2 linked regions of the Daphnia pulex genome follow. The protein of the gene in region 1 purifies or fractionates together with the protein of each later gene. This does not show direct contact. Links are inferred from orthologs where the notes say so. Each region holds a gene or a part of one and is shown on either strand. Other genes may lie near its edges.

Evidence for each region. Proteins that work in one complex are often made in the same cells at the same time.
Region 2: the proteins of protein lin-54 homolog (region 1) and protein lin-37 homolog purify together in Homo sapiens (affinity purification with mass spectrometry; 4 studies listed by BioGRID and IntAct, counting the BioPlex papers as one, with this or other methods). This does not show direct contact. The link is inferred for Daphnia pulex from reciprocal best matches to the Homo sapiens genes LIN54 and LIN37.

What each region holds. Positions count from the first base shown.
Region 1 is NC_060026.1:5,748,764-5,752,521, reverse strand, and holds the start of protein lin-54 homolog, read right to left. Parts: upstream 2,587-3,758; 5' UTR 2,505-2,586; coding exon 2,480-2,504; intron 2,152-2,479; coding exon 2,009-2,151; intron 1,913-2,008; coding exon 1,691-1,912; intron 1,629-1,690; coding exon 1,404-1,628; intron 1,339-1,403; coding exon 1,066-1,338; intron 1,009-1,065; coding exon 633-1,008; intron 520-632; coding exon 377-519; intron 319-376; coding exon 202-318; intron 120-201; coding exon 1-119. UniProt on the Homo sapiens protein: Component of the DREAM complex, a multiprotein complex that can both act as a transcription activator or repressor depending on the context. In G0 phase, the complex binds to more than 800 promoters and is required for repression of E2F target genes.
Region 2 is NC_060021.1:10,751,248-10,754,367, forward strand, and holds protein lin-37 homolog, read left to right. Parts: upstream 1-1,312; 5' UTR 1,313-1,421; coding exon 1,422-1,446; intron 1,447-1,517; coding exon 1,518-1,650; intron 1,651-1,724; coding exon 1,725-1,949; intron 1,950-2,006; coding exon 2,007-2,217; intron 2,218-2,288; coding exon 2,289-2,330; intron 2,331-2,395; coding exon 2,396-2,509; 3' UTR 2,510-2,618; downstream 2,619-3,120. Other genes in the region: sphingosine-1-phosphate lyase-like, read right to left, coding at 1-90, 160-375, 450-597, 691-699.

The DNA.
Region 1 (3,758 bases):
TGAGCTCCTGGAGGAACATTAACAGTGGAAATCGCACCCTTTACTTGCCCTACCGCCTTTGTTAAAGTAGTTGTTCCCTTAACTGTTTGTTGTGCCAGCGAACTGTTTGCTGAATGAATCTGTTAAAATTTTTTTAAAAACAATAAAAACAAAAAATTGTAATTCTGTATAATTTCAGGATTATCAGGTTGAATATTTTACCTTAATAGAATTTGCAGTAGGTGCCCCGATTATAACTTTTGAAGTTCCTGATGCAGTAACCAAATTTCCCGACCCGTTGTTTCCAGCAGATGGGTTAACAACGCGAACTAATTGTATCTAAAACCAATACATTTCATATTAATTTACACATTCCAATTTTGATGATCGAAACAACCTTGTTCCCGGCAAGTTGAAAATGCTGCTGTTGACCACTCTGTTCTCCGTGGGTTCCGATTGCGGGGAGTATTCCGGCAGCTAAAGCTTGAGCTGTTGTTAATCTTATGTACTGAGCCGGTTGTGTTCCACTTCCTTGACGAACTAAAAATATGTTTGAAAAATGGATTATTAAATAATTAATTACAAAAACCACAGTTTTAAAATTCGCAACATAAAAGATAAATTCGCATTTTAACACAAATCTGCGATTTTACCTTGGGCTGCAGTGATCGGGCCTGGTGCAGAAGGTCTCAGTACGAACTTCTGAGGACTAAGGGGGTTCATGTTGGTGACATTACCACCGTTGGGTCTAGTTTGGACCAGTGCTGCCATTGTTACTTGTCCAGCAGCGTTCTTTATCAGTAAGCTGGTTGGTTGGCTTTGTATTGAAGAACTGGATGAAATATTCGATGCAACTGTCTGCGGGGGAGCTGGGGCAATTTTCGTTGGTGTTTTGGTGGGGGCGCTTCTTACCAACGTCACGTTTCCTCCTGCAAATTTAGCTCCTTGTTTTCCTGCCAAGATATTGGTAGTAGGGGTTCCTTGACTTGCCGTGGCAACGGCGACTTTATTTACAATTAAAGGTTGCCCCTGATTTTAAAATATATATTAGTTCCCATTTCATACGTTTTTTAGGCGTTTGTCTACCTTTTTAGGCGATATAAGTCCAAGCTGTTGGGCTTGCTGAAGTGTGATGGTTTTGGTCGGGCTCATAAGGCGAACAGATTGTGAATGAATGTTTGAAGAGGGTGTACCGATGGTCGACATTTTACTTCCATCTGTACTAAGGGCATTAACAAACCGCAAATTTGTATTCGGAGTTAGTAGAGATGTTAATCCACTTGTTGATGCTGGAACTGTAAGAAGTAATGGCTGTCCAGTTTGATTTTGGCTTGTGGGTGCTAGCACGACTTTAGTAACCTATTCATTGAAAAACCAATAATTAATAAAAGAAATAATTAAGAAAAATAAAATATTAATTAAACCTGAGTCGAGGAAGAAACTGGAATTGTTTTCTTGATTTGACCCAGAGGGAAAACAGTTCTAGTCACTGGTTCGACTACCGGTAAGGAAACGGACATTGGCGTTATCGAGGGCGCATTTTTATCATCACACTGGCTTGTCATGATACTGATTCCCATGTCACTTTGATCCATAAAACTTTCTAAGGGTATTGAGTGTACCTCTTGACTTCTGCTCACTTCCATGTTCTAAAATAATGTAAACAACAGATAATTAGGAAAAAAAAAGTTTAATATTTAGAGTATATTACTTGCACATCCACCTCCATAGCTTCAATAGTCATAGTTTCCACTTCTTCAGAATGACCCAGATCATTCATATTCAAGTTGTTGGGGTCATTTCCTAAATGCACTGCTGACTCATTTGTCTGAACATGTTCCTCTACTATGCCAGAAACATTGGACATGTTGGATACTGCATCATTCGATTCCAATGCTCCTTCTAATCCAAGCCATAGACTGGGGTTGTTTGCCTTCAAAAGAATATGGTTGGAAATTTAAAAATATGTCAAAGAATGCTAAATAACAACTGTCTTTAGAAACCAACTTTGATAGCTTTAATAACTTACCAAATCAGCCACATCAGTGTTAACTAAATCAGGAGGTAAATCTGAGACTTCTGTTGTTATCACTTCTGTATGTTCATCATTTTCTTCTCCAACAGAAGTAAGGGAGAGAATGAAGTCATCTGTTTCGACTTGCATAGCGGAAACTGGGAAGGAAAACAAGATTAGTAAGGTAAATATCTATCAAGTAGGTACTTAATCATACTATCAAATAAGCTTCTAAGTGATCTTAGCATTGGGAAGGTTAATATCTGTTTAATGTAATCCAAAATTTATTCCAGTTTAAAAAGATTTTTCAACGAATATCGAAAAACCCGCCTGTAATAGGCGCCATTTTGAAAATAGTTTCCTAAGGGCATCAACCTAGCTTGAATTTTATGCAATCAGATCTATTTTTGTGTGAAATTAGTATTCTTAACTTGACGGAAATAACACAGTCATGATCTAAACAACGGTAAGATAAAATATAAATACCTTCATCTCGAGAACTCGACATCATTTAAGAGGAAATGTACGATCAGCCCGCCATGAACTTATTCAAAGCGACGCCTGCGATTGCTCTTTACACTTAGTTCGTTATGTCGCGGCTAGGTGTCGTGAAAATTTCTGATCTTACTCCACACGCCCCACACGATGATATTTCTAATATGGCATGATGCTTGGCATCATAATATCATATATTTTTAAAGTGTTGCAACTTAAAATGATTTTAAAATGTTGTTACGAAAATGCTTTTAATAACAAGCAAAAAACAAGTATGAACTGCAGGGATAATATTTCAGAAAAACATCGAGCGATTAGCGAACGATAGCGCTTACATTTTGGGTAACCGTGTTGTCTGTCCCGGTCCGTCCGTGTAATCCTTTGGTTTATTTCTTTACAATCATCGCATTTTCAATCTTCTAATAAAACAACGAAATTTTTTTTCTACAGTAATGTGTATCTGATTCCCATATTACGTCAGCATGAACTGCAATTCTGTGGACAATTATCAAACAATCGAAAGTTATTTTACATAAATAAACTTAGCCCTTTTTCGAATAATGCCTCAGTGGCAGTTTGAGGATTAGCTTAGTCCGTGTTCGAAGAAGCCCATAAAATCTTGTTTGGATTAAGTGAGAAAAGCGTTGATGACTGATGAGTGCCCCATTTCCTGTACAATAAGGAATGTCAGAATAAAGAAACAGAGTATTATTCAGTTTACATACTATGCGAATTCGAAAAAATGAAATAATAAATCTTTAGATTTTATGGCATTGCAATGCGTGTGTAATTGACTTGTATATAGTATATGATACTATGAGATTTCTAAGGGGGAAACATTTTTTTTTGTTTCTTCTCTCGCGCGTGCATTTGTTTGTTGCCCCTTTTTTGTTTTTCTTTTCACCCATCCGTCTTCCGAACTTATTTTTTTGCCTTGAGCCCCGGCCACGGCCAATCAAGTAAGACAAAAGAAGTACGAATACGAGTATTTTTTTAAAGCAAAACAATACCAGAAGGCATGTTGGCGAAAACAGACAGAAAATAGAAGAAAATGTTCTTGGATTTTCAAGGATTATTATTATTGTCAACTAAAAAAAAAACTGTATTAATTAGAACATTTACAGAGTGCCCGATTTGATTTTTCACTAAATTCTACATAAAGTGGGAAGTATGCATTGCGACATTTGCGAGTTGCGACTGGCTGCGAATCCTGCGATGCCGCTATAGTCGCGATTCATAGCTAATGCAAATCTGGCGTTCTGGCCCTGTT
Region 2 (3,120 bases), on another chromosome or scaffold:
TTCCATAAACTTGCGTAACAAGAGTAGTAACTTCTGGATCAACATTGTAAACACATCCTGAAAGTCCTCCAGCTTTCCAGTCACAGTCCCCTATGGTTAAAAAAACAAACAAACAGCTTAATCCAATCTATTTTCATGCATTAAGATAAAATTATTTACCTAGGTCTAGATATTCACTAGCTTCTTTAGTAATCTCTTCAACTGATTTTCCATTACTAGGCAATTGATAATAGACACTAAGGGATTTTGTGCATTTATTCATGTCTTCTTCCATCATATGTTTAGCCTTAAGTCTTTCCTCTGCTACCTTTTTTTTCACAAAAGGAATCATACGAATCCATGAGAAAATATATCTCTTTGTTCTTTCAGCCACAGCTTCAATAAAAGAAAAAAATAAATTATTATTGCATGAGGCTCTTAATTCTTACATAGACTTGTGAAATATTTACACAATTCTGGATCTGTCAGAAAGTTCTGTAGTCGAGCAATGGAATATGCTGCTCCAGCCGATATCAAAATTATTTTAAAAGAAAACTTCTCATTTAAACGGTAGTCTATATATATTTTTATAAATCTAGCAACTTCTAATATGCTCGGCTGTAATTAAGAAAAATAATTAGAATACTTTATCTTGAATTTCTTCATGGGTAAATTTAGTTTCAATAAATTGACACAATGTATGTATCTTACCATAGACATGGTTATGAAAAATAACCAAGTTTCCTTTGTGGCTTCAAATGAGGAGCTGACTGATTTCCAAATGAGGAATATTTCAACCTTGGATCAGCAGCTCAGTGCATATACCACATTTACCCTATCAGTCAGGTAGAGTTTAGATAAAGTAAACAAGATAAAAAAACAAAAAAACACCAGCAATATCACAACATGTCAAGATTGATACCTCTTCTACACCCTTGGACTGCAAACAAACATCCAGACAGCAGACACATAGGATTGTTGCATAAGAAAGTAAAAATTAATAATAAAATATTAAGATTAATGAATGTTTAGAAATGTACACTGTATATAACTAAATAAATAAAATTGAATTTTAGGTGTTTACAAATACAAATGTGACATTTAACTAATTAACTTAGATAATTTGTTTATACTTCGTAAATTCAGAAAGATACGTCTCAAATTTGGTTTTCTGCATAATCATTTTATTTTGCGGTTTGAGTCATCATCACTCGGGCATATTTCATATTTGAATAGCGGATCAGCTCAAATTTACAGTTCCTCACGGCCGATCGAAATCCGCTTTATGAAGTCCGCAATTCGTCTGCTTCTTCCGATATCCTTGTTTTATTTTGTAAAATCTGACAACCATTAAAGAAGAGAAAGTGGCAATGCTGTGTTTGTTTGGAACTCGGTCGAATTTTTAATTTCTTTTGTGAAATTCTTTATTTTCAAATCTAGAAATGAGAAAGGATAAAGAGAAATATGGTATGCAACTTTAATGTTTACATGTTTTGCTGAATGGCATTTGTACATCACACGAATTGTTTATTTTATAGATCATGGGCATGAAGTTAGCACTGCCCGTGGACGATTGGAAGGAGCTCTGCAAATTTTGATCGAAAAAACTGAATCTGAAGATAGCGATGAATCTGACGTAGATGTAACTGATTTAATCCATGAAGGCAGAAGGTATTTACTGAATAGTTACATTAAGAATTTAAAAAATTATGTTTTTATTTATCAATTTGGCTATGATTGTATAGTCAATCAGCATCTCCTAGGAAATCAGGAACAATTAAAACTCCATTGAGAAAGAGAAGACGCTTAAATGTGGATAAACATTACAAAAATGACCAAAATTCCTATGTGCTTAAGCTTTATGATCGTAGTGTTGATCTTGCAAAATTTTCTCCTCAAACTCCCCTATATCCTGTTTGCCGTGCTTGGATAAAAAATCAACCAAACAACCAACAATTTGGAGCTGCAAAGTAATTTGACATTTAATTTCCAGCCTTAAAGAAATATTATATAGTGTTTGATTTCAGTGCAAATTCCCCTAAGAAACTGGAGGATAAAGGAGCTGAGGTTAAAGAGGATTTAAAACTTGAAGAAAATGGTGAAGCTTTTGTAAATAGCTTGCCATTACCTGAAGCGATGCCTCTGGATGAAGAAGGAAACATTGTAGATACTAGGATTCCCTTTGATCTGAAGCCCAGTGGAAAATCTAAATCACTAGATTTGCTGCTAAATGTGTGTGTAAGTGAATTTGGAACTTCAGTGTAGAATTTTTACTAACTGTTGACTTCGGAAAAACTCATGTAAAACAGGAAGATGAGGCGGCTCCATCAGTATCATCGCTATTGCAGGAGGTGGGTAGAAACATTTGGTCAAATGAATGCAGTTTAACTAATTTTTTCTCTTTTTCATTTAACAGCATTGTTCTCATTGGGGTCGAGTACGAGAGCAATGGAGACGGGCGGCTAATGTCAATGAAGTCCGTTATGTTGAAAGTACCAAGATTCTTAAGAATATTTTAGTTCGCCCTTAAATTTGATGTGATCATCATATTTTTGTACTACTTGACAAAAATTCAACAACCATCAGCGTTTGTTTTGTGGGACGTGTGCTTCAATATTATCTTAAAACAAAAACATTAACTTGCTTTTTAACTATTCAGTTATAGTATATTATTGTCCAGTCATACCGTTTCCAATCCGATACAAAACAAAAAAAAAAAGAAACAATCAAACAACCTAACAATCGAACAAACAAAAAAGAAACAAATGAGATATTTGAGACAAACACGCACATGGTTCTCGTCAGTTAAATGTAATCAAGAGAAATCTCTTAACAGTTTGTCACACGCCAGGTCACAAATAGGTCGATTCCCCTGTAAGATAAATAAGTGCTCAATTGATCTTTCATTTCTTGGCCAAAAAATAAAAAAAGGTAGGTAAGTTTAAAGATTGGAGTTCAAAGAGATTTCATGTATAAGAAACTGTAATTGAATGGAAAAGGGTGCGAATCTAACAAGAAAATGCAGTGACGACAGAGTACCAATGGAACTAATCAATAACGAAGTGTGGGGAAAATGTCGAACTTCGGACGCCAATTTTTGCATGGTGTCTCTTATATAAAGGGAGATCCAGGTCACATGTT